Mus musculus: one gene and its partners. The protein of the gene in region 1 binds, or shares a complex with, the protein of each later gene. Links are inferred from orthologs where the notes say so. Each region holds a gene or a part of one and is shown on either strand. Other genes may lie near its edges. The genes, in order: Ercc3, Gtf2a1, Polr2l and Gtf2f2.

Evidence for each region.
Region 2: Ercc3 (region 1) and Gtf2a1 share a complex: the UniProt entries of both Homo sapiens proteins name them as parts of the TBP-based Pol II pre-initiation complex. The link is inferred for Mus musculus from reciprocal best matches to the Homo sapiens genes ERCC3 and GTF2A1.
Region 3: Ercc3 (region 1) and Polr2l share a complex: the UniProt entries of both Homo sapiens proteins name them as parts of the TBP-based Pol II pre-initiation complex. The link is inferred for Mus musculus from reciprocal best matches to the Homo sapiens genes ERCC3 and POLR2L.
Region 4: Ercc3 (region 1) and Gtf2f2 share a complex: the UniProt entries of both Homo sapiens proteins name them as parts of the TBP-based Pol II pre-initiation complex. The link is inferred for Mus musculus from reciprocal best matches to the Homo sapiens genes ERCC3 and GTF2F2.

Annotation. Positions count from the first base shown.
Region 1 is NC_000084.6:32,251,693-32,258,530, forward strand, and holds part of Ercc3 (general transcription and DNA repair factor IIH helicase subunit XPB), read left to right. Parts: intron 1-2,388; coding exon 2,389-2,573; intron 2,574-5,497; coding exon 5,498-5,700; intron 5,701-6,838. UniProt on the Homo sapiens protein: ATP-dependent 3'-5' DNA helicase/translocase. Binds dsDNA rather than ssDNA, unzipping it in a translocase rather than classical helicase activity. Component of the general transcription and DNA repair factor IIH (TFIIH) core complex.
Region 2 is NC_000078.6:91,570,412-91,577,249, forward strand, and holds part of Gtf2a1 (transcription initiation factor IIA subunit 1), read right to left. Parts: intron 5,381-6,838; coding exon 5,173-5,380; intron 3,162-5,172; exon of another isoform or gene 3,019-3,161; intron 2,223-3,018; coding exon 2,155-2,222; intron 1-2,154. UniProt on the Homo sapiens protein: TFIIA is a component of the transcription machinery of RNA polymerase II and plays an important role in transcriptional activation. TFIIA in a complex with TBP mediates transcriptional activity.
Region 3 is NC_000073.6:141,470,418-141,477,922, reverse strand, and holds Polr2l (DNA-directed RNA polymerases I, II, and III subunit RPABC5), read left to right. Parts: upstream 1-2,769; 5' UTR 2,770-2,800; coding exon 2,801-2,895; intron 2,896-4,518; coding exon 4,519-4,627; 3' UTR 4,628-6,063; downstream 6,064-7,505. Other genes in the region: CD151 antigen, read right to left, coding at 7,226-7,372, 7,455-7,505. UniProt on the Homo sapiens protein: DNA-dependent RNA polymerase catalyzes the transcription of DNA into RNA using the four ribonucleoside triphosphates as substrates.
Region 4 is NC_000080.6:76,005,810-76,013,416, reverse strand, and holds the start of Gtf2f2 (general transcription factor IIF subunit 2), read left to right. Parts: upstream 1-2,551; 5' UTR 2,552-2,671; coding exon 2,672-2,737; intron 2,738-5,638; coding exon 5,639-5,712; intron 5,713-7,607. UniProt on the Homo sapiens protein: TFIIF is a general transcription initiation factor that binds to RNA polymerase II and helps to recruit it to the initiation complex in collaboration with TFIIB.

The DNA of each region.
Region 1 (6,838 bases):
TGGGAGGATCAGGGTTCCAGGTCATCCTTGGCTACACAGAGAGTTCTAGTCCAGCCTGAGCTACATGACACACCCCCCCACCCCAATCTCAAAAAAGAAACTGATATTGTAGCACTCATGTATATTAATTCTTCCTATGTGGAAGGTGCTTTGCTAGGTCTACTACTGTCTTAACAAGAATTTATTGAACACTGTGCACTGTGTTTATGCACTATGATTGACCTTAGAGATACAGAGGTACAATTGAGTCATCCCAAATGGACTTTAGACTTTGCTTTATGTAACAGTGAGTGAGCACATACCTTCATTTATGTGAAGTTGAAGGAGAAGGCAGACTTTTCTTTGACTTCAGAAGTCAGGGTAATGGTCTCCTCTAGGAGGAGTGCTGCCATTGACAGAGGGGTGACGGATGGGAGACTCGTGGGATGCTTAGTGCTCCCTAAGTGACTGAAGTTGTCCTCTGCACAGCATCTTCCCTTAGCTGGGACAGTCGTGGTCACTGTCGGAAATGGACTAAGGGAATGCAGAAGTGACTGGATCCTACTTTGTCCCTGATCCCTGATCTGTCTCCCATGCCCATGGTGTGTTGTTCTTGTTGCCTGGGCCTCTGATGCTCCTCTTACTAAGGGAAACCTGGGGTCCCCTGGTGTTGCCCTTCTGGGCCAGCAATCTTTGCTCAGAGATAACCTTGACATTAACTTTTCATTTGCTTGTACCTTGTTTTGTGTTTGGTATAGTTATTGTTGTATTTGCAGATGTTGTAAGTTTTCTAAGTTGTTAAGCATCAGTGTGTGTGAAATTTAAAATTAGCCATTTACTCAGAGTGTGACTGCCCTGTTATTCTATGGCTCTGGTGTTTGATTTGTCTTTTGGAATATTCTGGACTTTCATCTTCTCATTGGGTTTCTTTTTGACGTATCACTGGCCTCATCTTTAATTCTAAGATAAGCATGACTCATGTGTGTGAGAGAGGGGTGGTGAAAACTGAAGCCAGGGTTTCATGCATGTGAAGTGTGTGTTCTTCCACTGAGCTGCACCCACAGCTCCATGCCTCAGACCTTTCTCCCACATTTGGAAAGGCAGGCAAGCCAGGTGTTACTGAGAAGTAGAGCAGTAGAGCTCCCTGCAGGGTGGGCATGGAGCTGGCTGTCTCCAGAATGCTTGAAGCTTTTATATTTCCTTATTTTCAGGGAGGGCATGTGCATGCCGTGTCAGGAGTGTGGAGGTCAGCAGGAGTTGGTTCTCTTGGACCGCATGGATGGCAGACTTTGAATTGAGGTCATCAGGCTTGGCAGCAGGTATCTTTGCCTGCTGAGCCATCACACTAGTCCCCCAACTCAAAGCCTGCTAACCTTCCAAAGTGTTGCAGATCTCTAAAGCTGTGGCAAACCTACAGTTGGGGGACCAGTTCAAGTCCCGAGGCCACACATAAGCTGGCTTGCTAGGGTGCCATCTGTTACCTTAGCACTCCTGTGGGAAGGTGGGGAAGACAGCATAAGCCTGCATGCTGCTGCTCATGTAACCTGGCCTGTGCAGCCGTGCACCTACAAAGGACCCTGCCCCAAACATGGTGAGGGCCGATGCTGAGCATGCGGGTGCCTACGTTCACACACACAAGCACACACATTACATGCCCACACAAGAGTTTTCAAAGGTTGTATCTCGTCTATGTGTTTATTTGATAATCAGGAATTATAACAATCAGCAAAGGAAGAAAATGAAAGGTGGCTCTTGATGAAAGAAAGTAATGACAGGGGTCTCACTCCGTAGTCCTGGCTGAACTGGCACTAACTATAGAGCAGGCTTGCCCTGAGCTGTCTTCCCTGCTTCTGCTTCCAGAGTGCTGAGATTAAAGGCCTGTGCCACCATGCCTGTTTAACTGGTGACTTTAGGAGGGGAACAGGTACACAGCATGCTTAGGCAGACTGGAGGCTGAGCTTTGTCATTGCCACGGGCTCTTTGCTCTCCGCTTTGAGTGGCGATGGTAGGAAGCAGAGCAGAGCAGAGCAGAGCAGAGCTGGGCTCTCTGTCCCCTCATCCCAGCTTCCTTAGCTGTGACCTGTGCATAGGCTTCAGCCTGAGTGATTTGTGTGGCTTGGAATCAAGTCATATTTGCTCCTGGTGCCTGGACTCTTGACATGTTGACAAGTGCTGGTATTTGTGAGCTTGGAACTCCCTGAGGTCATTTGTCCTTTATTCTTTCTGTCTTTTGAACAGGTCTAAAAGCCATGGTGAAATATTCTTGCCTTGTTCTTCTCTGGAACCAGATTTCAGCTCTCTAGTAGCAAGGCTACCATATGGTACTGCAGACCAGTGCCAAGTTGCGGGCTGCGTGGCCCCTTCTCAGTGTAGAAGGTGATGATGCGAACATTTCTTGTCTTCTTGCAGCCAGGATGTTCCGGCGGGTTCTGACTATTGTGCAGGCGCACTGTAAGCTTGGTTTGACTGCAACCCTTGTCCGGGAAGATGACAAAATTGTTGACTTAAATTTCCTGATTGGGCCCAAGCTCTATGAAGCCAACTGGATGGAGCTGCAGAACAATGGGTACATCGCTAAAGTCCAGTGTGCTGAGGTATTTGCTCCCTGGGTGGGATGTGAAGTAAGGGCAACTCCCGTGGGAACAGAAGGGATCTTCTGATAAACTGGGCAGACCAGCAGGTCAGGACCCAGTCTAAGCGACCGTGGCGTAGTGCAGTAGTCACCCTGGTAGGTGAGCCACACTTCATAGCAGACCGCACTGGAATTCTCTGCCTCTGTCATGTGGTTAAGGCAGCAAGCTCATACAGACCATGACTCCCTGCTGCCCGCCCTCACCCTGAAGGATTGCTGCTGTAACCTCTCAGGGCAACCACTCAGGCTATTCCAGTGCCAAAGTCCCAGAAGAAATTGGTCTTTATGGTGTTATTTCTTAGAACACATTTTTCTAATACTGTTGTTTAGTGGATGCCTGTACAGGTATGTGTTAAAATCGACAGTCAAAGATAAGTCTGAAAGAAAGACAGAACAGTTCATCTTAGTGCTTTAAAATGACTGCCACTCAGTAGCTAGAGTGGGGTGACCTCTGGAAAGTGGTCGTTGGTTGAGATGAGTGTGTCTGTTAGCAGCGCAGTGTTGCTGCTCATTGCTTGACAGCACTTCCCTTCTTTCCTCTTCTGCCCCGTAGGGTAGTCACTGGTATGGAACTTGTGTTATACCTGTCAATCACCCTACCCACTGGGCCATCCTGCTAGCCCTGCAGAATTTTCTTGATCATGCATGTAGCTGTAGTTCATTCCTTTAAATTATTCAAAGATCCCATTGAATCTTTCATATGATAATCCCCAGTTTGATACATAGCAATAGAAAACTTTAATATTGACAGATATTATTTTATTTACATTATAATAATTATAATATTTAATCTTATACTTAAAGTATTTTTTGTAAGTGTTTTGTTACTTGTTTAGTGACAAAAACTCTTACCTAGCATGTGTAAGAGAGACTCTGGGTTCATCTCCTGCACACACACAAACAAATTACAGACATATTTATTAGAGTATAATTTGTGGGTGGGGATTGGGGTTCAGGGAACAGGGAGGAATGAGAGCTCCTAGCACCAGGATGCTGCCTGGGAACATAGACGCTGTATGCAGGGGAACATGGTAGCAGAGGACTTTGCACTTCCTGGAGAGTCTGATGTGCTGCTAGCCCTCCAAGAAGAGGAGTACTGGAACAATACTGGTCTGTGTGTGGTGATGTGGCCTAAATGGAGGGGTTGCTGGCTTCTCACTCTAGCAGCTCGATGAAAATTATTACCATTTAAAAATCATTGTTAAGTTAGTTCCAGTTCAATATGGAGTATTAATTTTTCATTTTTAAACTACTTGGTGTGTATGAGTGGCTGTCTGTATGTGTGTCTGTATATCACATGCATGCAGTGCTCTTGGAGGCCAAAAGGGAACACTGGAGTCTGGGACTGAAGTTAGACAGTGGTTAGCTGCCATGTGGGTGCTGGAGATCAAACTCAGGACCTCTGGGAGAGCAGGAAGTAGTCTTACCTGCTGAGCCATCTCTCCAGCCACTATTTTATTTTTAATTAAAATATAATTATATCATTCTTTCCCTCTTTTTCTCTGAACCCTTCTAATCCCTCTACTCCATGCTTCTCCCTCTAAAATTAACGGCCTCTTTTTAGGTTTTTATACAACTCTGGATAGTAACCAGAGCTTTCAAAAATTCTCTCCCACTCAGCAGTCCTCCTTCTCACTCCACTGATGACTTCTCAGCCTGCCAGAAGCTCTTTAGTTTTATGAAGACCCACTTGTCCATTGTTGGACCTAAGTTTTAGGCAAATGGAGTCCTATTGGGAAAGTCCTTTCTTGCCGACTGTCCTGTGGTGCGCTGCCTGTGTTTCAGGTTTCACGCTTAGGCCTTTGGTCCTTTTGGAGTTAAGTTCCGTGCAGGGTGGTGGATGCAGGTCTAATTTCATTCTTCTGCATGTGGACATCGATTTCCCTAGTGCTGTTTATTGAAGATGTTATTTTTCCTTCATCATGTTTTTGGCATCTTCATCTAATATGAGATGGCTGTAGTTGTGCCTTCTCTTCTTTGGTTTTGTTACATTGGTCTGCATGTCTGCTTCGGTGCCAGTACCATGCTATCTTTATTACTATTGCTGTGATGTGTCTTGAAGTCTGGGATGGTGAGTTCTTCGGCACTGCTCTTTTTGCTCAGGATTATTGGGGTAATCTGGGGTCTCTTCTGGTTCTATATGAAAGAAACATAGGTTACCTTTTTTGAAGAAATGTTGTGGGGATTTTAATTGGGATTACATTGACTCTGTTCATTGCTTTTGGTAGAAATGGCCATTTTTACAGCATTAATTCTCTCAGCTCATGAGCACAGGATGGTCTTCCCGTTTTCACTGTCTTCCTTGACCTCATCCTTCAGTGATCTAAAGCGCTCTTTGTGTAGGTCTTTCACCTCCCTGGTGAGGTTTCTCCCTAGGTACTGTTTGTCTTTGAATCTGTGGTGAATGGGAGTGTGTCTGTCCACTGTCTCTCTCTGTATGTTGGTGGTGTGCAGAGCAGCTGTTGATTTTTGCAAGTTGATTCTGTATCCTGCCACTTTGCTGAAGTTGTTGGTTATTCATAGATGTTTTCTGGTAGAATTATGGGATCCCTTATATGTAATAAGGGTAGTTTGTCTTCTTTTCCTAGCAGGACATTTGTGTTTCTTTAATTTCCTTCTCTCGCCTTCTTCCTGTGTGTGCCTGTGAAGGGTGAGGACAGCCTCTGGGAATTGTTTCTCTCTTGCTACCTGTGGAGTCCAAGGATCAAACTCGGGGCAGTAGACCTTTTGCAGACGGAAGCACCTCTGCTTGTTGAGCCATTACACTGACACTTGATTTTTTTTCCTAAGCTAATTCTGCTAAATGAAAGAGCATCAAAAGTCCTTAATGCTGTGATGTTTTGTTTTGTAACGTGATCCCTATTCCCTATTCTTGTTGCATCTCAGGTTTGGTGCCCGATGTCTCCCGAGTTCTACCGAGAGTATGTGGCAATCAAAACAAAGAAACGGATCCTGTTGTACACCATGAATCCCAACAAATTCAGAGCCTGCCAGTTTCTGATCAAGTTTCATGAAAGGAGGAATGACAAGATTATTGTCTTTGCTGACAACGTATTTGCCTTGAAGGAATATGCCATTCGGCTGAACAAGTGAGTGGTGCCTTCTCATCTTCTGGTCAAGTATGCCACGGCCTGTCTGTGCACTCTCCAACACTCCCTGGGATCTAACGCGCTCTGTTCCCTGCCCTCGTCCCAGGAACTTGTGAGGCAGAGAAGCAAAGAGGCAGGGTCAGAGGCTAGAAGATGTACACCAGAGGAGCCTGGCCACCCTGCACTGACTGCAAAGGCCACTCAGTCAACATTTCAGGCTAAGTGAGAGTGGGTGGAGCTGAGGCCAGACTTATGGCCCAGGGAAAGTGGGTGGAGGCGGAGAGGCTAGTGTCGGGGTACTTGCTTTTCTCATTACAGTGACCAAACACCTGACAGAATCGGCATAAGGGACAACAGGCTTGGTTGGGCCAAGGGACGTAGTCTGTTGTGACAGTGAACAGCTCCCTGAACCTGTTTCCCTACCTGGTTCCCTGGAACGGGCCACTGGCTTTTGTTTACTTTTTACTCTTTAGCTGGTAGCTTTGTGACAGTTTTTGGATTGTCACTGTAGAAAGCCTGTTAACTCCCTGCTGTGGGAGCTGAGGTTTTGCTTTCTCACTTGCACTGGCCACTCCTCCTCACAGGGTGACAGTCCAAGCTGTGGGTTAGCTACTAGCCAGTATTCAGAACCACTAGTCACAGTGCCACTGTGGTCCAGGCAGCCTTACAGTAGTCTGTGATTACAGTTTCCTTTATGGATAGATTTTGGTTTTCCTGGAGACTTCCCTTGCTTTGGTTTCCTGTATGTTAATGTGAGCATCGATTCCTCTCACTGACATCATGGAAACTCCGGTTTCTTTTCTTTCCTTTTCCTGTTAGCCTCACGCACATCATTCTCTGCTCTCCTCTGCCTGACTCGGGTTAGCCATGTCCCTGCTCCATCGGGGAGCTCTCTGTGGACGCCGTCTATAATAAATCTCCCCGGCCGCTCTCTTGAGTTGGAGTGTTGCGGTAAATCTCCTCCCAAATATGCCCTGGCAGTGAAAACACAACACAGTTAATATGATTACATGCTGTGCGCCTAGACTGAGCAGATCTACCGCTACACTACCATCTTCCACATCAATGGGACCCCTTAGAACTTGCGGTTTCTTCAGGCCATGTGCTTCTGCTCAGCGGAGGGACTTCGTCCTCAAGC
Region 2 (6,838 bases), on another chromosome or scaffold:
GCTCTTTTTTTTCTTTACGACAGGGCCCCACTCTAGTCCAGGCTGGCCTCAACTGGTAATCCTCCTGTCTCTGCCTCCTGAGGGAAGGATTACACAGTACCCTATGACAGCCCCAGTGAGACTGAGTTTTGACTGCAATCACTTCATTTAGTTCATCTGAAGATTTTTTTTAATTCTTGCTTGCCCCAAAAGATTCCTATCACTGTTAGCTTAATTTTGTACTTTTACATATTTTTATGCATCTCACTGTAACTTTATTTATGTAGCTTTTATTCCATTATGTTTAGATAGTCCTTAATATACACAACCATTAATTATTGTTTAATTTATAAAGTTTTAGGAAACTAACATTTAGATTGAGTTTAAGGAAATGAGTCTATGCTTTAGAGAAGCTAATGAGAAAGCAGTGAAAATGACCTTTGTGCAGTTCAGGGGCAGGCGAGATGGCTCGGGGGTTAGGAGCGTTTACTGCCCTAGCAGAGAATCAGATTCTTTCTATTTATTCCCAGCACCCACATGGCAGCCCACAACCATCTTCACCACCAAGTCCACCCTCTTTTGTGCCCTACAGGCACCAGGCAGGCATATGATATACAAGTATACACACAGGCAAGCAGTCAGACACATAGGAAAAAAATATGTATAAACAATACAAATAAATGAAAATAAAAACTGGAGTTGCTAGTATATGAAGCTGCAAAACTGGCAGTACACAGGAGGAAGTCATGTGACTAACAGGTGACCTGCTTCTTAGATGCTTACACATCACAGCTGTAAACTCTTACAGATCCCAGATGCCACTCAGAAAGTCAAAGTGTTTGTAGAAATATTTTCACTAAAAACCAAAAAACTCATTGCTAGCAATACTTACACAGACCAAGAGACAATTTCAGAAATGATTTTGTCCTCAGTAATAATTTTGGTTGATTTTAAAAATAAAATGCCACATCTGACCTTACAATATTTATAGTCTACATAGTTTAAGAAAATAAGTCATTGGTGGTAAAGTATTAAGTAAGTGGTCAGACTCTGTTTTCCTGCTTCTTTTATAACATTATCGATCTGGCGACACATCCTAAGAGCCTGAAGGGCTTCCTTCAGTTCACAGTTAAGCACTGTGATGTATCTGATGGGAGATTACGAGCCTTAAGTATGAGACGTTTAAGAATGGGATATTCAGTATGCCTGTCCACCTGAAATGGAACAGAATTCTTCTTATAAGCAACTGCATAAAATACACCTTAAGGTATAAATCTAAAGATCACAATAAGGCAAACTATGTGTTATGCTTAAGTCACAACAAAAACTCTTAACATACGACTTCAGCAGTAGCATCCTTGAGTTGGGCACGCTGGCACATGCCTTTAATCCCAGGATTTGGCAGGAAGATCACTGTAAGTTTGAGGCTAGCCTGGTCTGAAACCCTGTCTCAAAAAAAAAAAAAAAAAAAAAAAAAAAAAAAAGCAAAACAAAACAAGGAAATAGCCTCCTTGACCACATACTCAAATGTACATGGTTAGCACAACTAGATTTAATGGTTTAAAAAGAAACAGAAGGTACAAGCTTGAGTGGGTGGGTAGAAAAGAAGGGGTGCATCTAGGAAGAGTTGGGTTAGAGGTGAATATGATTAAAATACATCACATACCATTCTCAAATAACTAATAAAATTAAATTTTTAAAAAAGAAATAGTTGTCTTAAGCTCTCACCTTTCTTACTCTCATCTCTAGCTCTGTTTCTCCTTCCCTTCCTCCCTTCTCTCCACGTGGCCATAGCCAGCCTCTCTTTCTTTTACCTTCTCTCCTTCTCTCTTTCTACAATAAAGCTCTAAAACCATAAAAAAAAAAAGAAAAAGAAAGAAAGAAATACCTATCTTGAATTGTCCAAAACAGTTCATTTTCAACAAATTTATAAACGTAGCCTTCCTGTACTTACATTTAACTGACCTCCTGACATACAAGTACCAGTGTCAGCTATGAACTATCTTGGTATTTTTTAAGAAAATTACATAGTTTTATAAACTTTAAAGATTTAATTTGTCATTAACAGCTATTTGCACAAATCTTCCATAATCCTCAAGTTGTTAAATAATACACATAGGAATAACTGCAATTTTAGATTAACTAAAGCCAGTTCATGCCGTGTTCAAGTCTTACCGTAATACTTGATGCATTCATATGTTGTAGCAACTTAGAATCAGGAACAATAACTTGTGGTGCTGTAGCTACAAAAATAGAAAAAAAAAGGCCCATTTACAACAAGAATACTTCAGAGCTGCAGGAATGTTATAAATGCCAAAACCTTTTTTACCTTTTTCATGCTTTTGTTGCATTTTCTACTTTAAAATACTTTCAAACTATATGCTATTTTAGACTTTCTAAATTTTTTTCCTATGGAAATCAACAGCTCGAATATATTTATTTTATATTGAAAAACATTAATAAAATTACAATACCTTAGCTAGGCATTGCAGTGCATGCTTTTAACTCCAGCATTCAGGAAACAGAGGCAGAAAGATCTGAGTTCAAGGCCAACCTGGTCTATATAGTAGGACAGTGTCTAAAAACAACAAACAAACAAAAAACCCTACAACATCCTTTTCTAGCAACTTGACAGCTACCATGATCATGGCATTTTAATTAACTATTTGAAGAATACAAATCAATGGATTAAAAATGCTTGTTCTATACAAGCCGGAGGCCCTGAGTTAGAATCTGCAGACCACACATAAAAGCCAGCTACGTAGCATGAGCACTCTTAATACCACTGCTCTATGAGGTGGGGAGAGGAGTCAGGCAGGAGAGCTCTAAGCTTGAAGACAGCTAGCCTAGTGTATATAGAGGAAAACAACAGAGATCCTGTCTCAGAGTGGAAAGCAAGGATCAACACCTGAACTTGTCTTCTGACTTCCATGCATGCACCATGGTCCATGAGCATCTACACCTGCATGTGTGCACACAAACATCACACTCAAGAAAGAAACAACAGCAATGTTAGTTAAAAGAAAAAACAAAAAAAAGTAATGTTTGACCCCGCAAATTTCAGAGAACACATAGATAAACCCAATATCTTGATATTCTCTGAGTGAAAAAAGTCAATTTTAATTTATGATGACTTAAAATCCTAGTGCCATGCCTATAGGCAACAGGAGGAACAGCCATCAAAGATGAAATGAAAAGCAGGTCTGAAGAGTGGGGAAATGGCTCAGTGGGCAAGGGCATTTGCCACCAAGCCTAAAGACCTGAGTGCCATCCTTAGAGCCCTCGTGGCAGAAGCAGAGAGCAGACTCCTGCAAGTTGTCCTGACTGCCACATGGATACCATGGGCCACCACATTCCACACACACACACACACACACACACACACACACGAAATGAAGTTAAAGAATCCCTAAAAGGGACACTCCAAATCTATCAGCTATAACTGGTAAACCCAGTCACACCGCCTTCTGCTACATCTGACTACTCACCGTGCATTTCATACTCTCTCAGATGAAGCAAACCAGTCACCCAACAGCTGCCACCTTAAACTAAGCTTTCAGTTACCTCAAGTTTCCTTTCTAGTCAAATTCATCTAACTACAGTATTCAGAAAATGTTATAACTCAATAGATTTTTGTCATATTAAAATAACTATGTATGATGGATCGAGATCCTTCTTTGTTTTGGAGTTTTTTGAGACAAGTTTTCTCCATGTAACCCTGGCTGTCCTGGAAATTACTCTGTAAACCAGGCTGGCCTTGAAATCAGAGATCTGCCTGCCTCTGCCTCCTGAGTGCAGGATTTAAAGCTATGGCAAGATTCTCAATCTTTCCAGGGCCCAGATTTCCTTCAACTGTGAAATTGAGCTAATAAGCTATTCTGCAACACGTCAATAAAGGTTAATGCAACAGGACCTATAACATGATTTGAATATTGTAAACTATGACAGAGTCTGTAATGAGTTTTTCTTTCTTTAAATCAAGCATTAAAAAGTTAATTAAGGGCTGGTGAGCTGGCTCAGTGGGTAAGAGCAGTGACTGCTCTTCTGAAGGTCCTGAGCTCAAATCCCAGCAACCACATGGTGGCTCACAACCACCTGTAATGAGATCTGAAGCCCTCTTCTGGTGCGTCTGAAGACAGCTACAGTGCACTTACACATAATAATAAATCTTTAAAAAAAAAAGTTTAATTAAATTTTCAGACTACCAAAGTTACAAAATTTCTCCAGTATTGAAGATGCATGAACAAAACAAACATGTCTTTGAAAGAACATGTTTCATAAAGAAAACTACCTTATATTAAATAATGAATTCATTCAAAAGTAAGTCTGTATAGGTAGGGGACCCCCATTTTCTTTTATCTTACATAATATCTATAAAGTGTGTAGTATGGATCCTTGCCTTCAACCTATGTGACACAAGGTTTCTTTGTAGTGTTTCTGGCATATATAACAGCTTAGCTGGCCCATAACCAGACTTCTGGGAATCTGTCTCTACTCCCTATCTCCCCACAGGGATACAGAACTCCTCCTGGCTTTACGCTCTTGGGACTCTATGTCTCTCTACCTGGTCCCTAGCTCAGCTCATTCACATATTATAGCTCCCCTCCCAGGGATGCTCTTCATAACTTCTGCCTTTGTTATTTTCTTTTGCTATTTTTGAGGTAAGGTCTCATGTAGCCCAGGCTGGCTTCCAACTCACTCACTAGATAACTAACAGAAGATAACCTTAAATATCTGATCCTGCCTTTTCCTAAATGCTAGGATTACAGACACGCTCCACAATGCCCAGTTTATGGGGTGGTGGGGATTGAACCCAGGGCTCAGGTGTGCTAGGCAAGCACTCTACCAGTCAGAGAAGAAAAAGAGTAATCAGTATAGATCTCCAGACCCCAGCATCTGTTTAAAAAGATGATGGATCCATCAAACTTAAAAGTCAAATTAGGGCTGGAGAGATGACTCAGCAGTTAAGAGCACAGACTGCTCTTCCAGAGGTCCTGCGTTCAATTGCAGTCAACCACATGGTGGCTCACAGCCATCTGTAATGGGATCTAATGCCCTCTTCTGGTGTGTCTGAAGAGAGCAATGGTGTACTCATATACATTAAATAAATAAATAAAACTTAAAAGTCAAAGGAATACTTTCAAAAGACAAGTGTAACTTGTAAGGCACAACAGGGACCTCCAGCCTTCTCACCTTGCTGGGATGCAGGAATGAGGACCTGCTGGGTCTGTGCTTGCTGAGGTACCGTTTGCTGAGGTTGCGCTTGCTGGTGCTGGTGGTGGTGGTGGTGATGCTGCTGCTGCTGGGGTTGATGCTGCTGCTGAACTTGCAACAAAAGCTGCTGTTCTTCTGAATGAAATCCATCTACTGCCCTAGACTGCATTAGTTTATTCTCCCACAACTAAGACGAAGAACAGTAAAGCTTCTCAGTGACTTAAAGAAAACTCTGGTCATATAGACAAAATATTAAGTTATTAGGTGTTTGTAAATTTCTTCCAGAAATAATACAATCACACACACACACACAAATATCACCCAAGTTTTATACAAGGAAAATAAACCTTGATCAAATCACATGTTTATTTTACTTAAATTTTTTTTTTTACATTCCAAGAAACTTTCTAGAGTAATTCTTCAGTTAGCAGGTATTATTTAACAGGGTTCCCAGAGTCAATCCCTGAATAATCACAGCTTATCTTTTTATTTCAAAATTATTAAACTGCTTTTATGGAACTTTGCTCAATACAAATTTTCTATCTCTTCAATAGGAGTCAAAAAGAGAAATATTCATCCATCTGTCCTCAGTGAGAATTTTGTGAAATACAGGCACTCTAAATTAAATAGGCCAGCTTCCTTTCCATTTGTCTAACCTTGTAAGTTAAAGAAAATGAGGCTGAAACGGTCATCCCGATGCTCTACACCTCTTGGAACGCCCGTTCTTCTAATGCGAAGACTGACAATCACTTTCTGCTTAGCCACTTCTATAAGCTGAACATATCTAACCTAAAAACTCAAACTCTGCGTGCGATATTCTACCTTTTTGACTCCTAAAAGGATCTCACCATGGGAAAATTCTACCTGGTGAAATTTTGTTTTATGCACAAAACCATTAAAATAGCGTGTCAATTAATTCCTAGCCATGTATAAAAGGTGTATGTGAAACATAAGAGAACTTCAAAGTCTGAAAACTATGTAAAAAGGTAACACTCCTGGGTGGTGAGACCTTTCGGATTAGGGCTGCCTATCTGTCTTTCTCACCTCAGCACAGGGTAAGCTCTATAATGGGAGAGGGGGGAGAGCCATCCAAAAGAGAGGAAAACATTTTCAACTATTTCACTCTTCCCATAACATATTTGCTTTCTCCTATGTTTAGTGTTTAATTTTGAGTTTCACTCCTATAAGAAATTATCCAAGAAAGTCAAAGTGTGCCTCTAAACTGCAAAGAAAGCAAGCATTCTGTTCTTAAGTCCAGGGTCTGCTCCTGAGAGATTGCTAACGCAGAGGTTTCTTCTGGATTCTTTCAGAGGCGCCTCTTGTTACACAGACTCAAAACAAAGCAAAAACCCCTCACCCTGCCCTCTCTGCGTGACCTATAGTTATGACTACCTGCTACAACAACTCCAGCGTCTTTTAGTAGTGGTCTGAAAAATGGAGTAAAAGTCAGGTTCAGAGTAGAAGTACTTCCCTACAAGCCCAATACTTCAATGCCTGAAATCTATACTTAAAAAAATACTAACCTCTGTTCATGGTTACCACAGTTTAAAGTCAGTGATCACTGAATGCCAGCTGTTATTACTAATCCAGTAGTAGCTTTAATTATGTAACAGCATTACATCAGAGGCTGGAAAACCAGTTAATA
Region 3 (7,505 bases), on another chromosome or scaffold:
GCAGGGTCCTCTGTGTGAAGCCAGCAAAAGGGCCCATATTTCTTCCTAGACTCTCTGGTCATCCCAAATAGTATCTTCCCCCCACTTCCTGCCCGGCACCCTCAGGTATTTCTCTGTCAGAGCCCCTGTGGCAGTAGAATAGAAAGGACCTACTTGAGACTCAGAATGCTTATCCTGTGAACAAAGCACACCTGCATTGCCATGTTGGGGACACCCCACCCCTACCCTCAAGCACTGAGTCCCAAATGTCCCAGCCTCAATAACCCAAAGGGTTCTTGGGCTAGTTACTTCAGTTTCAGCCACAGGGTCTCCAAGAGCTATTTGGACAACATGTACCAAACACATTTAGTGTGTCCACACAGATATGCCCTGAAAATGAGGTGTAGGAGTGTGTATGTTCACACTCCATACCCTCAGGGTGATATAAACTGTCCTACATGAGCAAGCCAGAGGGCACAAGGCTAGATAGAGTTCCTCAGGAGAAGTCACTTTCGACCACTTCCCCTAGCTCAAGGCCAGCTTTTAGTGGAGGAATTAAAATCCTTCCCACGGATGCTTCAGGTCCCAGCAGAGCTTTACAAATGGGGAAACTAAGGCTGTGACCTAAGGCCAAGGGGTAGAGCCAGCTGGAGCCCAGGGCTCCAGACCACAGTACAGCACCCTCTTTTGGCTGGCTGTTTTCAGGGCAACACCCAGGGTGGGAGGGGCCGGGCAGCTAACACTTCAATCATCGGTTTTCCTCGTCCCCTGCCCTGAAGTGACCCCCTCCTCTGGCAGGAACTGTGGCAAATGGGTTAAAAACTGCGTATGAGCACATCTCGCTCAATGCGCCCTCCACCCTGTACAGTAGATTGAGCATCCATTTGCTAGGCAGACACTGGTCAGTTTGCAGTGGGGAAACAGCAGAGCTGAGACTGTAAGTATCCTACATCTCTCTCCCGCCACTGGGAGTTAAGAAACGGTAGAAGTAGGGGCAGAAGCTGAGCCTGGGATCCCTGCCAGGGCTCTGGAGAGAACTGACCCACAGCATATCCCCCCCCACTCCACCCCCATCCCACACAGCACTCCAGGATGAGCAAAGTCTGGGTGAACAGCCTGGAGTCCTCTAGCCTGGGCCATTTCTGGGAATCCAGGGAGCTGGAGCAGGAACTAGGGGAGGAGAGGATGCCACCACCCACGATAGCCACTGGAAACTGTGGGCTTGCGCGCGCGCGCGCACACACACACACACACACACACACACACACACACACACACACACACACGGGAATTCCAGGAATGTCAACTTGGCACAGGCTTCTACTCCCCAACTCTCCCTAAGTAAACAAGTCTTCCAGGGGCCGGACCGAACTGAGAGCCCCTCCTCCAAGCCTTTGGCCTCCACCCCATCCCCTAGGGCAGACCCTACAGACCATCTCCTATCCCACTCCCCTGCCACCCTCACCTCTGGCCACCAGCAGTCTTCAGTCCAGATCTTGAGCCTGATCCCAGGCCACAGTGACTCACAGGCCCCCACTGCCCCCTCTGGCCAGGGCAGGATGTTGGGGGGAGGGGACAGGACCGGGAAGTCGCCTAGCTCGTGGCTCTGCACGTGGCTCCATGGGGGATGGCAAAAGCTGCCAGGGAGGCTGTCCAGGGTGACATCGGGGGCACAACCACCAAGCTGGCCAGTGGCTCCGACCAGCCACACTCAAGACCCAGGAGACCCCTCCCGACCTCCCCTCCATCGTTTGTTTCCCAGAGGCACCTGGAAAATGTCTAGGACCCCCCAGAGCCTTCACTGTAACCAGATCTCAAACTTCCCAAGCTCTATCGAACTTCTCCAGCTTCTCACTGCAAGCTGCCTCGTTTTCCTAAGGGTAGCTCCCAACACACAAGAAGGCGGCCAAGGTGATACACTCCCCAGAAACCAGCTCCTTGCCCATTCCCTTAAGTCCTTAAGTCACGTCCAGGTGAGGCAGACCTGTGGCCACTAGCAGTCTCGCACGCAATCTCCGCGTCTGAGCCAAATATCCCGGGAAAAAGAGGTTAGAAGGTCTGTTCATAGGGTGCCTCCTCCATGACGCCTTCCCGGACCACCGCCCTGCTCCTCTCCCCAGGAAAAGACCCTTCTCAGAGGAGAGGACTGTACTGAGCGCGGGAGGCCGCCGTCGGGGCTCGGGACACCGTACCGCCGACGGTTCTGCAGCGGCCGAAGAGAAGGACGCCCCAAACTCCAAGGCCCGGACTCTGCCTGGGCACCTCGGGTAAGGGCTCCAGACCGAGACCCCTTGGAGTCCGGGCCAGGAGGCGGGAAGACCGCCTTGGCCGTGGACAGTCGGCAGCCCGCTCTCCGGCTGCGCCACCACCACTTGTTAACCACCTCTTGGCTCCAGTCGGCTTGCGATCCGGCCAGCGGGACCCCAGCCCGCTAGAACCGCCGTACCTGTGCGCGCCGCCGCACGGCGGAGCAGCTGTCAGTCAAGGCAACACGAGAAACGCGAACCGCCGGCCGCGGACCTTTCGGCCTTGCTCGGACGCCGTAGCGCCGGGATCTACCACCACAGCGGGAGGGGGGGGACCGGGATGCTGCCGCGGGCTCGGAGGCTCTCGGAGCCCCGGGTGGGCACGAGCAAGGAACACCGCCGCTTCAGGGTAATCATGGGAGCCGGGGCAGGGCTGCGGCGGGATTCAGGGAGATGCGGGGCGGGGCTCTGGATCTTACGGGGCGGAGCTAGGGCGTAATGAGCCCCGCGCTATGGGCGCGCCTGGGGCGGGCCTTGAAAAGCTACTGCCGGCAGCCTGCACGCCAGACGCCGCCATGATCATCCCGGTGCGCTGCTTCACCTGCGGGAAGATCGTCGGCAACAAATGGGAAGCCTACCTGGGTCTGCTGCAGGCCGAGTACACGGAGGGGTGAGACGGCGGGCCGCGGGGGATGGGACAGGACGGGAAGGCTGGACTGGGGGCATGAAGTCGAGGGGCAATGGGGAGGGTTCTGCGGCGGACCGGGAGTGAAATTGAGGTGTCCTGGGCCGGGGGTAGATAAGATTTCCTATGGAGAATTGGCAGGGCAGGGGTTGTGGGGTCTAGTGAGAAGACTGGATGTCCTCCAGCCCAGACCTGTGATGTATTCCCAGAAGAGTGAGTCTTTAGTTTGTTTTCGAGGCAGGATTTCGGTGGCTGACCTGAATTCTCTATGTAAAGCAGTCTGGTCTGAAACACTTCGAAATCCTGCCTGTCTCCTGGATGTTGGGATTAAAGGCGTGCAATATCACGCCCAGGCTCTCAGAAGTTTGGAAGGTGGTTTTCTTCAAGTTGCTGGCCTTTGGGAAACTTCTAAGCATCCTTCCCGTGGGTGACACCTCAAGTCTCTTCCCTGTCGACCTACTCTCTATCCTCTATCTGCTTTCCGACCTACCCCTTATGTACTTCGAACCTCGTGGGCCCTTTAAAATGCAGGACAGGCTTTGTGGGCATCGTCTTGTGCTCACTACTATGACTGTCCCCCAAAATAGACCTCTGGCCACCATGTCAACACCAAGGGGTTCTCTTTCTCTGCACAAGCCATAAGTCAGTGGGGCTTAATGAGCAGCTATTAGATCAGCTCTGATGAGTAGCTGCTAGCCTTCTGGGACCCTCTTTCACTTGGGCAGGAACCTCTCAAGCTGTCTAGGTCCCAGAGAAATTAAATCTAGTGTGAGTTCAAAGCCTGTGGGGTAGCAACAACCAGTTCATGGCGTTTAGTCAGAGTCCACCTGTGGGGCCTGGAATTGTACTCCTTGATGAGGGGATATTGGTCTCCTAAGCTTTCCCAAATAACCCTGGAAGCCCATAACCCTGGGTACAAGAGACAAACGCAGAGATACAGGGGGTTAGAGAGATGGCCCAACTGTTTTTTTTGTTGTTGTTTTGTTTTTCAAGACAGGGTTTCTCTGTGTAGCCCTGGCTGTCCTGAAACTCACTTTGTAGCTCAGGCCGGCCTCGAACTCAGAAATTCACCTGCCTCTGCCTCTACCTCCCAAGTGCTTGGGATTAAAGGTGTGCACCACCACACCCAGCTAGATGGCTCAACTGTTAAGAGCACTGGCTGTTTTGTGTGTTTGGTTGTTTGATTGTTTTTTAAGAGGACTCAGGTTCCGTTCCTTGAAGCAACATGGTATCTCGCAAGTGTCCGTAACTCCTTTGGGCTTTGGGAGCATCAGGCACCCATACACATAAAACGAAATTTTAAAAAACAGGTGTAGGCAGAAGGCTGTTAAGGATGGATACAGGATGCTATGGGAGAAGACTGGCACATGAGCAGGTGTAACTTCTAGGTGGGGAAAGGGTCACCTGGCTCCTCCCTGAGCATCTAGATACATATTTCAGAAATCTCCAGGCCATTTCCCTATGGCCTGGTGTCAGGTTTCAATCGCTGATTATGTAGATGTGCTCTGGTAACCCCTATCCACACGAATACCCAGAGGCAAGCTGGAGGTGGTTCCAAACCTATCCAGACTCTAGAGACCACATCCAGCCTCACTCTTCTCTTTACAGGGATGCCCTGGACGCTCTGGGCCTAAAGCGCTACTGCTGCCGCCGCATGCTGCTAGCACACGTGGACCTGATTGAGAAGCTGCTGAACTATGCACCCCTAGAGAAGTGACCGCTGGAGCCTGCCCTCCTCTGTCTCCTGCTGGCCACGGGCAGCCTGTCGTGCTATGTTCAAACTGAGCTATTGGGGATGTTGGTGTATTGCCTGGCTGTGGCCCTGTGGCTAAGTCCTGTTACCCTGGAAGGAACTGTTTAGTAAAGATGTTTGCAGAACCACCAACAGGTCTAACTTCCAAGGTGCTCCATGTCCATGTCTGTGCTGTCTCTGAGGCTACCTGGCCTGCCTCCAGTCTTTCCCCTAGGGCTGGTCTCCTTCCCCTTCATCTGACTGGGAGTCTCGTCCTGTGGAGGAGTACCCTGCTTCCGTTCCCCGGGGCCTTGACCACTTTGATCAACGAGGTAGCCCTACAGTAGTCTTGTACCACATTGCTTTAGGGCCTCTCCGCTTCCTGCCTGTGTTCAGGATGGGCATAATGGATGTGGGCACCACACCATCCACAGGTATGGATGGGCCCAAGCCTGGTGACAATATTCCTTTGGAATGCTGAGCGTGCTTGGAGGTCCCAATCCTTGTGCTAGGGTTATTATGCATTTGGGTATTTGGTCTGCTTATAAGTCTTTGTATCACTGTGTCCCCACAGAGGCCAGATCCCCTGAGAGTAAAGTTATAGAATGTATAAGCTGCCATCAGGTATTGGGAATCAAACCCAGATTTATTTACCTTTCATTTTCCAAGACAGGGTTTCTCTGTTTGGCCTTGACTATCCTGGAATTCAACTCTGCAGACCAGGCTGGCCTTGAACTAAAGAGATCAGTCTCTGCCTCCCGAGTGTTGAGTTTAAAGGACGGCTTGTGCCACCCAACCAAACCCAGATACTGTAGGAGTACGCCCAAGGCCACAGGCCTCACGAATTTCTTGGGTCCTAAAGCCCATCAGCTGTGTGAGCCTATCTGCTGCCCATGCCTGAGGATCTTGTTTCCAGAATCTTCCCAGGCCCGACAGCTAGGCAGCCCTGCCCCTTGACCCAATCCCCACAGCATGTAGTCCTAAGAAGCCTACTCTAGGCCAAAGGAGGTGGTGTAGTGCTTTAGCTCCTAGGCATCTGCATCAAGTACCCCGGGTTCTTTCTAGCACATTGATCCCTTTGAGAATTTTGGTGGGTTTTTTTGTTTTGTTTTTTGAGACCAGCTTTGGCTGGTTTGAAACTCACAACAGTCAGCCTGCCTTTACCTCTTGGATTCTGGGATTAAAGGTGTGTGTGGCATAGCATACCCACCCTACCCCACCCCTGGTTTTTTGTTGTTTTAAAGAAAAAGGCGGGCTGGTGAGATGGCTCAGTGGGTAAGAGCACCCAACTGCTCTTCCAAAGGTCCAGAGTTCAAATCCCAGCAACCACATGGTGGCTCACAACCATCCGCAACAAGATCCTCTTCTGGAGTGTCTGAAGACAGCAACAGTGTACTTACATATATTAATAAATAAATCTTTAAAAAAAAAAAAAAAAGAAAAAGGCTTTGCCTTAGGCTAGAGTCCAGAGAACCCATAGTGGCCTCCTCCAGCTGGCACAGAAGACTGTGGGGAACAAAATCAGCTTAGGACCTCTTCTCAGCTGCTTAGATGAGCTAAAGCCAGAGAAACAGGAGCCAGGGCATCCCCAACAGGCCCTGGTGCCTCCCTTGCCCTCTGACCCTAGCAAGGCCTACAGACTCTTCCTTGAGCATGGACAAGTCCAGGCCACAGTGGGCTGGGGGGATGTTCCAGCTACCAGTGCTCACCCTAACTGTAATTGCCATTGGGCTTCACCAACCTTGACTCTTGTGAGTACTCCAGCTACCCTGGACCATAAGGTCCTGTCAGCAAGCTGATTCGAGTGCTTATACATTTACATTTATTGAGCACCTGTTACATAGCAGGAGCATTTGTGGGCAGCATCTGGAATACAGCAGTGAGATGAAAACAGCCATGCTCCATTCAGAGATGCTCCAAAAGGAGACAGTGTACAGGAACATGGAGCATTTACATGATGCTATCAGTAGTGAGAAAAGGCCAGGGCTGAGCTGTTAGGAGCAAGAGGCCTGTGTGGAGAGGACAGAGCATCAAGTGTGGGGTTGGAGTTTCCCTCAGCTTACACCATTTGTTTGGGGCAAGCAGATCTGAGAGTTCCTGGTAGCAGGCATGAAGGGTGCCTAATCCAACCAGAAAGGCCCCACCTGCTTTTACCCAACGTGTAGTGGTGTACTCAGGTTCTCCCCAGACTTACTGCAGATCACAGCTACCCAAAGGGAAGCAGTCTGCATAAGAGGCACTTCTGTCAAATAATCTAAACCCTATTCTACTAGCCAGGCCTAGCCCAACACTGGCATTTGAACCCCCCACCCCCCCCCCCCTTCTTAATGCTGGGGCAAGTACGCTGCTTCGAGCTTTGGGACTTTGGTGTGCAGTGAAAGGCACTTGAAGGTGCATGCCCCTGAGGTGGCATGCCAGGGGGGGTCATGGCGATGGCATGAGGGTAGCTACCTCTGGCAGTCAGCAGTCTAAGTCAGTAGTGTTCAGTAGTGGGGCTGGGACATAGTGCAAGGCTGGCCGCCCAGCCTGGCATCATCGTGGTCAGTAGTGCAAGGCTGGCCGCCCGGCCTGACATCATCGTGGTCAGTAGTGTTCCAGCTTGAGGCTTCGGTACAAGCAGCAGGTGAAGATCATGCCGAAGACCTGCACACAGGCGATGCCAATGCCCACCGCCCCAATGACCCGCAGGTGCTCCTGAATGAAGGTCTCCAGCTTAGTGATACAGCCACCCTAGTGGGAGAGAAGGGTGGTGGGCCAGGCTGCCTGAAGACCAGTCCGGCCTAGCCCCGCCCCTTGCTGAGAACCCACCTACCTCCACTTTATAGATGTTGGAGGCATGGTCCCGCTTACCACAGCCAGCTAC
Region 4 (7,607 bases), on another chromosome or scaffold:
CTGACTGGCTGGTTCAACTCCGATGTTCTGGCTCAAAACTACTCTCCCAGCTGACTGATTCAATCTGGCTTTTCTCTTGGCCTCTAATTGATCTGTTTTGCTTCAAAATATCTCTAGAAATCTTTTCTAATCTTCTGGCTCCTTCTCATTCTCTTGCTTGTTGTGTCTTTACCTGTGTCCAGCCTGTTCTCTCTTCAATCTGTCTCTGTAAAAACTCTCCTGGTAACACTGCCTCCTTCTCCCTCTCTCTGCTCCACTCTCCCTCCCGACTCTACTTACTGCTCTCACGAGCTCCACTGTATCCTGTACTGTACTCTCTTCTTCCTGAGCTGCCTGTCTCTCCCTGAAGTAGCTTCCCTCTCCTCTCTCTCCCTGTGAGAGTTGGCTATATCCTATTCTGTCAGACCATTCTCTGACTCATCACCTTGTCTGCCACCCATTTAGACATCACTTCCAAGCATGGCTACTTCCTCCACCAAATTAACTTTACCTTCATTGTTTGAGATTAAAGGTGAATCTAAGGGTTTGCCTGTATTCCAGCCAGAGGGATTACAGGTGCATACTAAGGGCTGAGCCACACCACAACTAGAAACAGGTTCAAATATCCTGTAACAGTGGTCTATGAGGAGATATCTTATCTAAACCATTATATCTCTGAGCCATTATAGCCATGAGCTTTGTTAAGTTGGACGGTTTACCTGTGTATGTTCAATGTAAATACTTTATCTTTAAAGCCATTCCTGGGGTGTGCCAGGCTCCTTTGTGTTCTTCTCACATATACTTGAACCAAGACTAAAGCACTTCTCATAGGCTCACCTTTTAACACTTTAGGCCTGTTTCCAAGCTGTTATAAGAGAATGCAACTTTTCTTTCCAATGAGTGCCTGGTCTTTTCCATCACATTAGTTTTGCCAGCAGATCTCAGAGACCTGACAGTTTTCCCAGCCCTTATGCTGCACAGATATAGACTCTCTGCAGTTTTGTGCATAGCTCTGGTGTGTGATTCAATAAATTACTTGCCATTCTTCCAATACCTTACTGCTTGTTTCTCTTCAGCAAATGTTCATTCAACCAAAGCCTACTGACATCCCACAGTATGTCAAACACTGTGCTGGGTGCTGTGCATATAAAATGAATAAAACACTATTTTGTATTTGTCCATTCTGCTTCAGCAAATCTGGGGCAAAAACAGTACTTTTGTCTAGGAGTTCAGTCAGTAGTGTAGAAAACAAAGATAAACACGCCTCTCATGGTACAGCGTTAAGCATCACACACTATCATATGGGGAAACAGAACTTTATCTAGGGGGACTCTCTTTTCTGTGTGGTCTTTATTTCATTTCCACTTGTCTGTGTTTATAAGTAGAAGTTTGCCAAAGGACAGGGCCAGTGTAAAGATCAGGGAAAGCAGGGCATCTAAGGCACAGGAATTGGTTTGAAAGAGGCTCTGAAATGGTAAGAGGAAGGTCCTGGAGTCTTCAAGCAGGTGGATGGGCTTGGTGTGGAATCCTGTGTGGAACAGAGAGTATAGGAAGGATCAAACCCAAAGGACTCAGTTGAAGCACAGGGTAGAATTTCATTCCAAAGGCAAGTGGGGGAGGAAATTACCAAATGAAGACTCAGGAGCTAGAAGCTGCGGTGAAAGCCTGCTAACTCTGAGAGGCAGAAAAAGTACTCAGCTGACCTTCCCACTCCACCGACTTCTCAGAAGGAAAAGCCCCTTCTCCTTCATGCACTCTTAAATACCCTTCACCTCAAACTCTCTCCTTTCTCTTGCTCATGTTCACTCTCTTGTCAGCTGGCTACTTGCTCTGCCGCCTGATCTAGGGTTGACTTTATTTAGCTCTTGGATTAATGTGCGCGCTAGGTAGGGGTGAGCCAGGCTACCTATACTTGTTTACAGTAAACAGAAAGTTCTAGGATCAAAGGCTGAGCCACAGTTATTAACAGATTCTTCCAGTTCACAATCTCAGGGCTCATAATGTGATCCAATATCCTGCAACCGGAAACTGTTTAAGCAGGGCAGTTGGATAATCAGATCTGTTTCTTACATGGTGGGTCTTACCAACTCAATTAGATGGCATTCAGGTTTCGGCGTCTGAAAGAGTGTATGCTGCTTGCACGGTGTGAATTGATTTTTATGCCTCGAAAAGGCATGTGTCCAGCATACTCACTTGTACTCTAGTGCCCACTTGTGCCAATGTTAATTGGGCCAAGAAAGTGACTTTTTTTACCCCCAAGTCTGTCCTTAAAATGCCTAGCTTCTTTATCTAGGGTTGGGTATAAATACACACAGCTTTTGTCTGTCTAAACCTTAATCTTTCCACTTTGTCACCTTTGCTGTAAACGCACGGTTCAGGATTAGGCTCTTCCTTTCCCAGCACTCGAATCCCAAGATTGCACGTTGCCGGGAGTCACGCCCATCTAGGAAATTGCCGGAGCAGGAAGTTTGTCCCTCTCGGCGCGCTGTCCTGACGTAGTCGTGCGCAGGCGCAGTTCTTCATTCGGCGGCGTGTTCTTCTCATCTAAGTTCCTGGTTCCCGGGCTGTGTGCGACGCCGGCTTTTCGCGGTCTACTTACTCCCTTGGCCGGCTCTGGACTGTCGCTCTCTGCCTTTCAGCGCCGGGACCACTGCTTGTGCGCGCACTGCACGCCTCCTCACGCGACAAGCTCATGGCGGAGCGCGGGGAACTCGATCTGACGGGCGCCAAACAGAACACCGGCGTGTGGCTGGTCAAGGTGAGTGAGACGCGAGCCCCGCGGGGCGCTTCCGAAAGTTCTGGGTCCGTCTTGCTCGGGCCACCGCTGTTCTGAGAAGCGGGTCGCTGTTGCGTCCGTTTGCAGGTTGGAGAAGTTACTTTAGGGGACACAGGGCGTCTTTCAGGCCGTCTCTCAATTTCATCCGCCCACCATGGAACTAACTCTCTTTACCGCCAAGACCTGGCCTTCCTGGAGTCCTGACCCGGTGGTCCCCGAGTGGGCAGTACATTTACCCCAGGTCGGAAAAGTCCTTGCGGTTTTCTTTTTGGTAAGGTTAACTTTAGTTATGAACGTGTATAAATTACTTGAATAGATATTCCGTACAGTTTTCTGGACCACAAAGTGGAGCTGGTCCCTGTGTACTCTGTTGTTTTGAAACAATCTCTCTGTGTAGACTTGGCTAGCCTGGAACTCGCCATGTAGACTCCTGTCGCTTTACACGGCTAGTGTTGCCTGGGTTGGTAATTCAATTGGAGCCTTCGAAAGACCTAGAAGTTCTGAATTCAAAGAGAAGTTGTTGACTTCGTGTTTTTAAAGAGCGAGTTTAGGATTCATGAAACCAACCAGCAGTAAATGTTTTAAGTGGTCATGCGGCAGACCTCGTTTGCCCCAGTGGTCGCCATCTATTCGGGTCACTTTTTTTTATATGGGGTGGGAGGCTCTGTGGGGAATCTCATTCTGAAAAACCATATTTAAATGGGATCATGAAAGTTTCCCAAACTTGTTTTTTAAATGGTTTATCTTTGTAATGAGTGTTTTAAGTCCATGGCTGAGTTCTCATCAAGACAAAGTGTTTCTTCCTGTCCTTTTCTCTGAAACAGCTCTCGTCGTTTGCCAGCACAGCAGACTATGTTAAGTTCTTCAAACCCCTGAACAGTTTCTAGTGCTCCTTTGTACCTGTCTGTATCTATTGTTGATGCCCCTACCCCCAAGTCACTTTCTTTGCACTTTGATTAGTGTTTGGCACATATTACTTTTCCAATATGTGATGAATATAAGAAATTGAAAAGGCACACGCCTTTAATTCCAGCACTCGGGAGGGAGAGGCAGGTGAGTGAGTTCCAGGACAGCCAGAGCTATACAGAGAAACCCTGTCTCGAAAAACCAAAAAGAAAAAGAAAAGGCTGTATGTCAAAGAGACACAAACTAAAGTGGGTAGGAGTTAGTCCTGTCAGTTTCATCGGCGGGCGATTAATGAAACACACCTCTGGGTGTTTCTGGTGCTGTTTCTGGAGGCAAAGTAGGTCACAGGGCTATGATCTAATTAAGGGATTAGTTACTCTGTTGGTGGATTTATAATGTGACTTCTCTGGGAGGTAGTGAAAGGTAGTGGGGCGGGGCCTAGTTGGAAGAAGTAGATTCTGGCTGTATGTTCTTAGGGCTGCCCTGGCCCTCTCTGTATCTCCTCTATATCATGGCCACTGTGGAGTGAGCTGCAGCACTTTTCCTTGTTTTTCCCACCATGACAGATAGAAACTGAGATACCCAGTGCAAAATAAATCTTAAATTGTTTCTGTCAGATATTTGGTCACAGTGACTAAGTCTGACTAAAACAGAGAATACAGCAAAGGGTTATAAGTAACAGGAAAAACGAAAACCTATTCTCTCCTTTCCTTTCCCTTCCCTTCTCTCCCTCTCTCTTCATCTCTCCCTCTCTCTCTCTACCTTTCTTAGTTCAGGCTGGCCTGGAAGTCTCTGTGTAGCCCAGGCTGGCCATAAACTCATGGTAATTCTCCCACCTAGGTGTGTGTTAGAGCACCTGTGCTTGAGTATTTATGTTAGATAAATACACAGATATATATCTTAGATAAAGGAGAGCTACCAAATAGACAGGACTGTGGTGTGCACACCTTTAATCTTAGTACTTGAGAAGTTAGCCTGGTCTACATTGAGTCAGGGGAATGTTGTAAGACCCAGAAACCAGAAGAGGGCATTGGATCCTCTGGTATTACAGGTATGGCTGGTTATGAGCTGCCATGTGGGTACTGGGAATTGAACCCAGGTCCTCTGGAAGAACAGTCAGTGCTTTAAAGCTGAACCATCTTTCCAGCCCTTATCAGACTTAAATAGCAAAACCATTAAAAAGTCCATATGGTATTTTGAGATACATTGTCCACAGTCTCACCTAGCTTTATTTCTGAGTTGTATCACTAGCCTTAGATTCGGTTTTCATATCTGTAGACAAGGGAGAGTACTTTGAAGAGTGATTGAGGGGATGAGTGGGTGGAGGGGATAGAAAGTCTACAAGGAGTCTGACAGAATTGTCTCCTCAACCTTCCTCTTTTCCAGCCTCAGGCCTATCACCTGACACACTTTGGTAGTCTACTAAGTTAATATCATGAACATACAATCAGCCTTTTTTACTCCTTTTTTAAAAAAACTTTAACTGTAATCAAAGTACTGTACCCCCCCCATAATCTTGCTAGACTTCCTTGTCTCCCCTTTGCAGCCCCAACACCTATGTCTCAGTCTGAATTCATTGTGATCACATTGTTATTCCAAGATTACTACGAGAACTAATGCTGACAACTGACAGTCAGTGAATACTTATTCTCCACAACACATATGCTTCGTGTTTTATTAAAGTCTCTTCTTTGCTTCTCATAACAGGATAGCTGAAAGGTCTAAACTACTTATGTGAAGAACAGAGGCAGATTATTTATTAGAGAATTAATATATTTTTCCATCTTAGAATTTAACCTCCGGTTACTTCTGTTTTTCTGTTTCTGGTTTTAGACATAGTATTTTTATGGTTAAGAACAAAATCCCTTGAGATGGCTTGGCCTTGAATCGTGCTCTGTCATTTACTAATTGTATAACCCCGGGGAAGGTATTTGATCTCTGGGTACAGCATCTGTGAAATGTTTTGCTTTATTTTAGGTTCCTAAATATTTGTCCCAGCAATGGGCAAAAGCCTCTGGAAGAGGTGAAGTTGGGAAACTGAGGATTGCCAAGTAAGTTATTTATATATTTATATAAATATACTATGTACACACATATAGTTAGTATATATGTATAGCACATAAACTATACATTTTTTAAAGCTGTTTTTAAAAATGTTTATAATGGCTTTTGAATGTGATTACATTCTTAGAGAATTTACTTAGAAGGTGAGAGTTATTGGGCATGTTAAAGCAGGTTATGGGATATCTATATATTCTGTGAGGAGACAGGCTTGTGCATGTGTGATAAGTAGTGTGACTATAAAGCTAAATTTATTGGGGAAGCTTACTGGTAGTGAAGGAGCAGATGATACGGTTTCCCCATCCTTCTATCTGTTCGTGGTGTGCAGAGGTGTGCTTGGGTTAGGTGTGCATACCTAGAAAGTACTTTTTTAAAAATTTTATTTATTTATTTTATGTACATGAGTACACTGTAGCTGTACAGATGGTTGTGAGCCATCATGTGGTTGCTGGGAATTGAATTCAGGACCTCTGCTCGCTCCATCCCGAAGATTTATTTATTATTATATGTAAGTACACTGTAGTTGTCCTCAGACACAGCAGAAGAGGGCGTCAGGTCTCATTACATTTGGTTGTGAGCCACCATATGGTTGCTGGGAATTGAACCTCAGAACCTCTGGAAGAGCAGTTAGTGCTCTTAACTGCTGGGCCATCTCTCCAGCCCTAGAAAGTACTTTGATGGATGGACTTTGCCATTGTCGTTCCTGGTTAAAGGGCTATGGAAGGACATAGGGAGCGTCTAGTGTGCCTGAGACTTTGTGTTCTATGAGAGAGATTGAACCCAGATTCTCCATGTTCTCACGGGGCGGCTTCTTTATCCCGTATCCAGTCACTTCATTTGTTTGTTTGTTTAGTTTAGTTTTTTTTTCAAGTCTATGTAGCTCTAGGTGTCCTGGTACTTGCTCTGTATGTAGGTCAGGGTGGCCCTGAACTCAGAGATCTGCATGCCTCTGCCTCCTGAGTGCTGGGATTAAAGGCGTGCGCCACCATGCCTGACTTCATCCATTCACTTAAAAAAGATTATTTTATACATACGAGGTTTTTGCTGGTATGTATATCTATGCACTAACTGTTTGCCTGGTACTTGAAGAGACCAGAAGAAGGCATCTGATCTCTTGGAACTGGAGTTATAGACAGTAGTTAAGCACTGTGAGGATGCTGGAAATTGAACCCAGGTCGTCTGGAAGAGCAGCTAGTACTCTTGACTGTTAGACTGTCTTCCCAGCCCTTGTCTAGCTACTTTTAATCCAACTCCACTGAGATTCTCAAGCCTAGTACTTCATTGAAATAGCTGTCATCTGTTACTAATGTCCCCACCTTTATCAATTAGTTTTTGTTTCATAACAAAACTTAAAAATTTTTAGTCACTTAGAACAAAAAATATTTTATTTGTTCAGAATTTTCTGGATTTTTTTTTCTGGTCAGGGCTGAGCTGGAAGGCCTTCTTGACTGGCCTGGCCTTGTTAAACATTGAGTGGCTTGGTATCAGCTGGGCAGGAGTCATCTGTTTCATCTCCAGCATATTCTTTCATATGGTGGTGAGAGTTCACAGTTGCAAAAGAGGGCCTACAAGTACAAGGGTACTTCTGTCTGTTCGCTAAAGTCTTATTGGCCAAAACCAAATTCAAGGGCTAGAAACAGATTTCAACACCAATTTTCTTTTTCCCTGTAAAAATTTTTATTACACATCTTATATAGCAGCTGTCTTGATTGACCCGCATCAGACTTGACAAGGCCGTAAAACTGGTATCCCATCCCATCAGGACAGCACTCTGCTGCCCTCTTCCTTCATTGTCTCCTATGGACCTTTTGCTAGGCTCCTGGATGCCCCATCTCAGCATCTTAGTTTACATGATCCCTCCTCTCAGTCATCAGTTCTTGTCTCT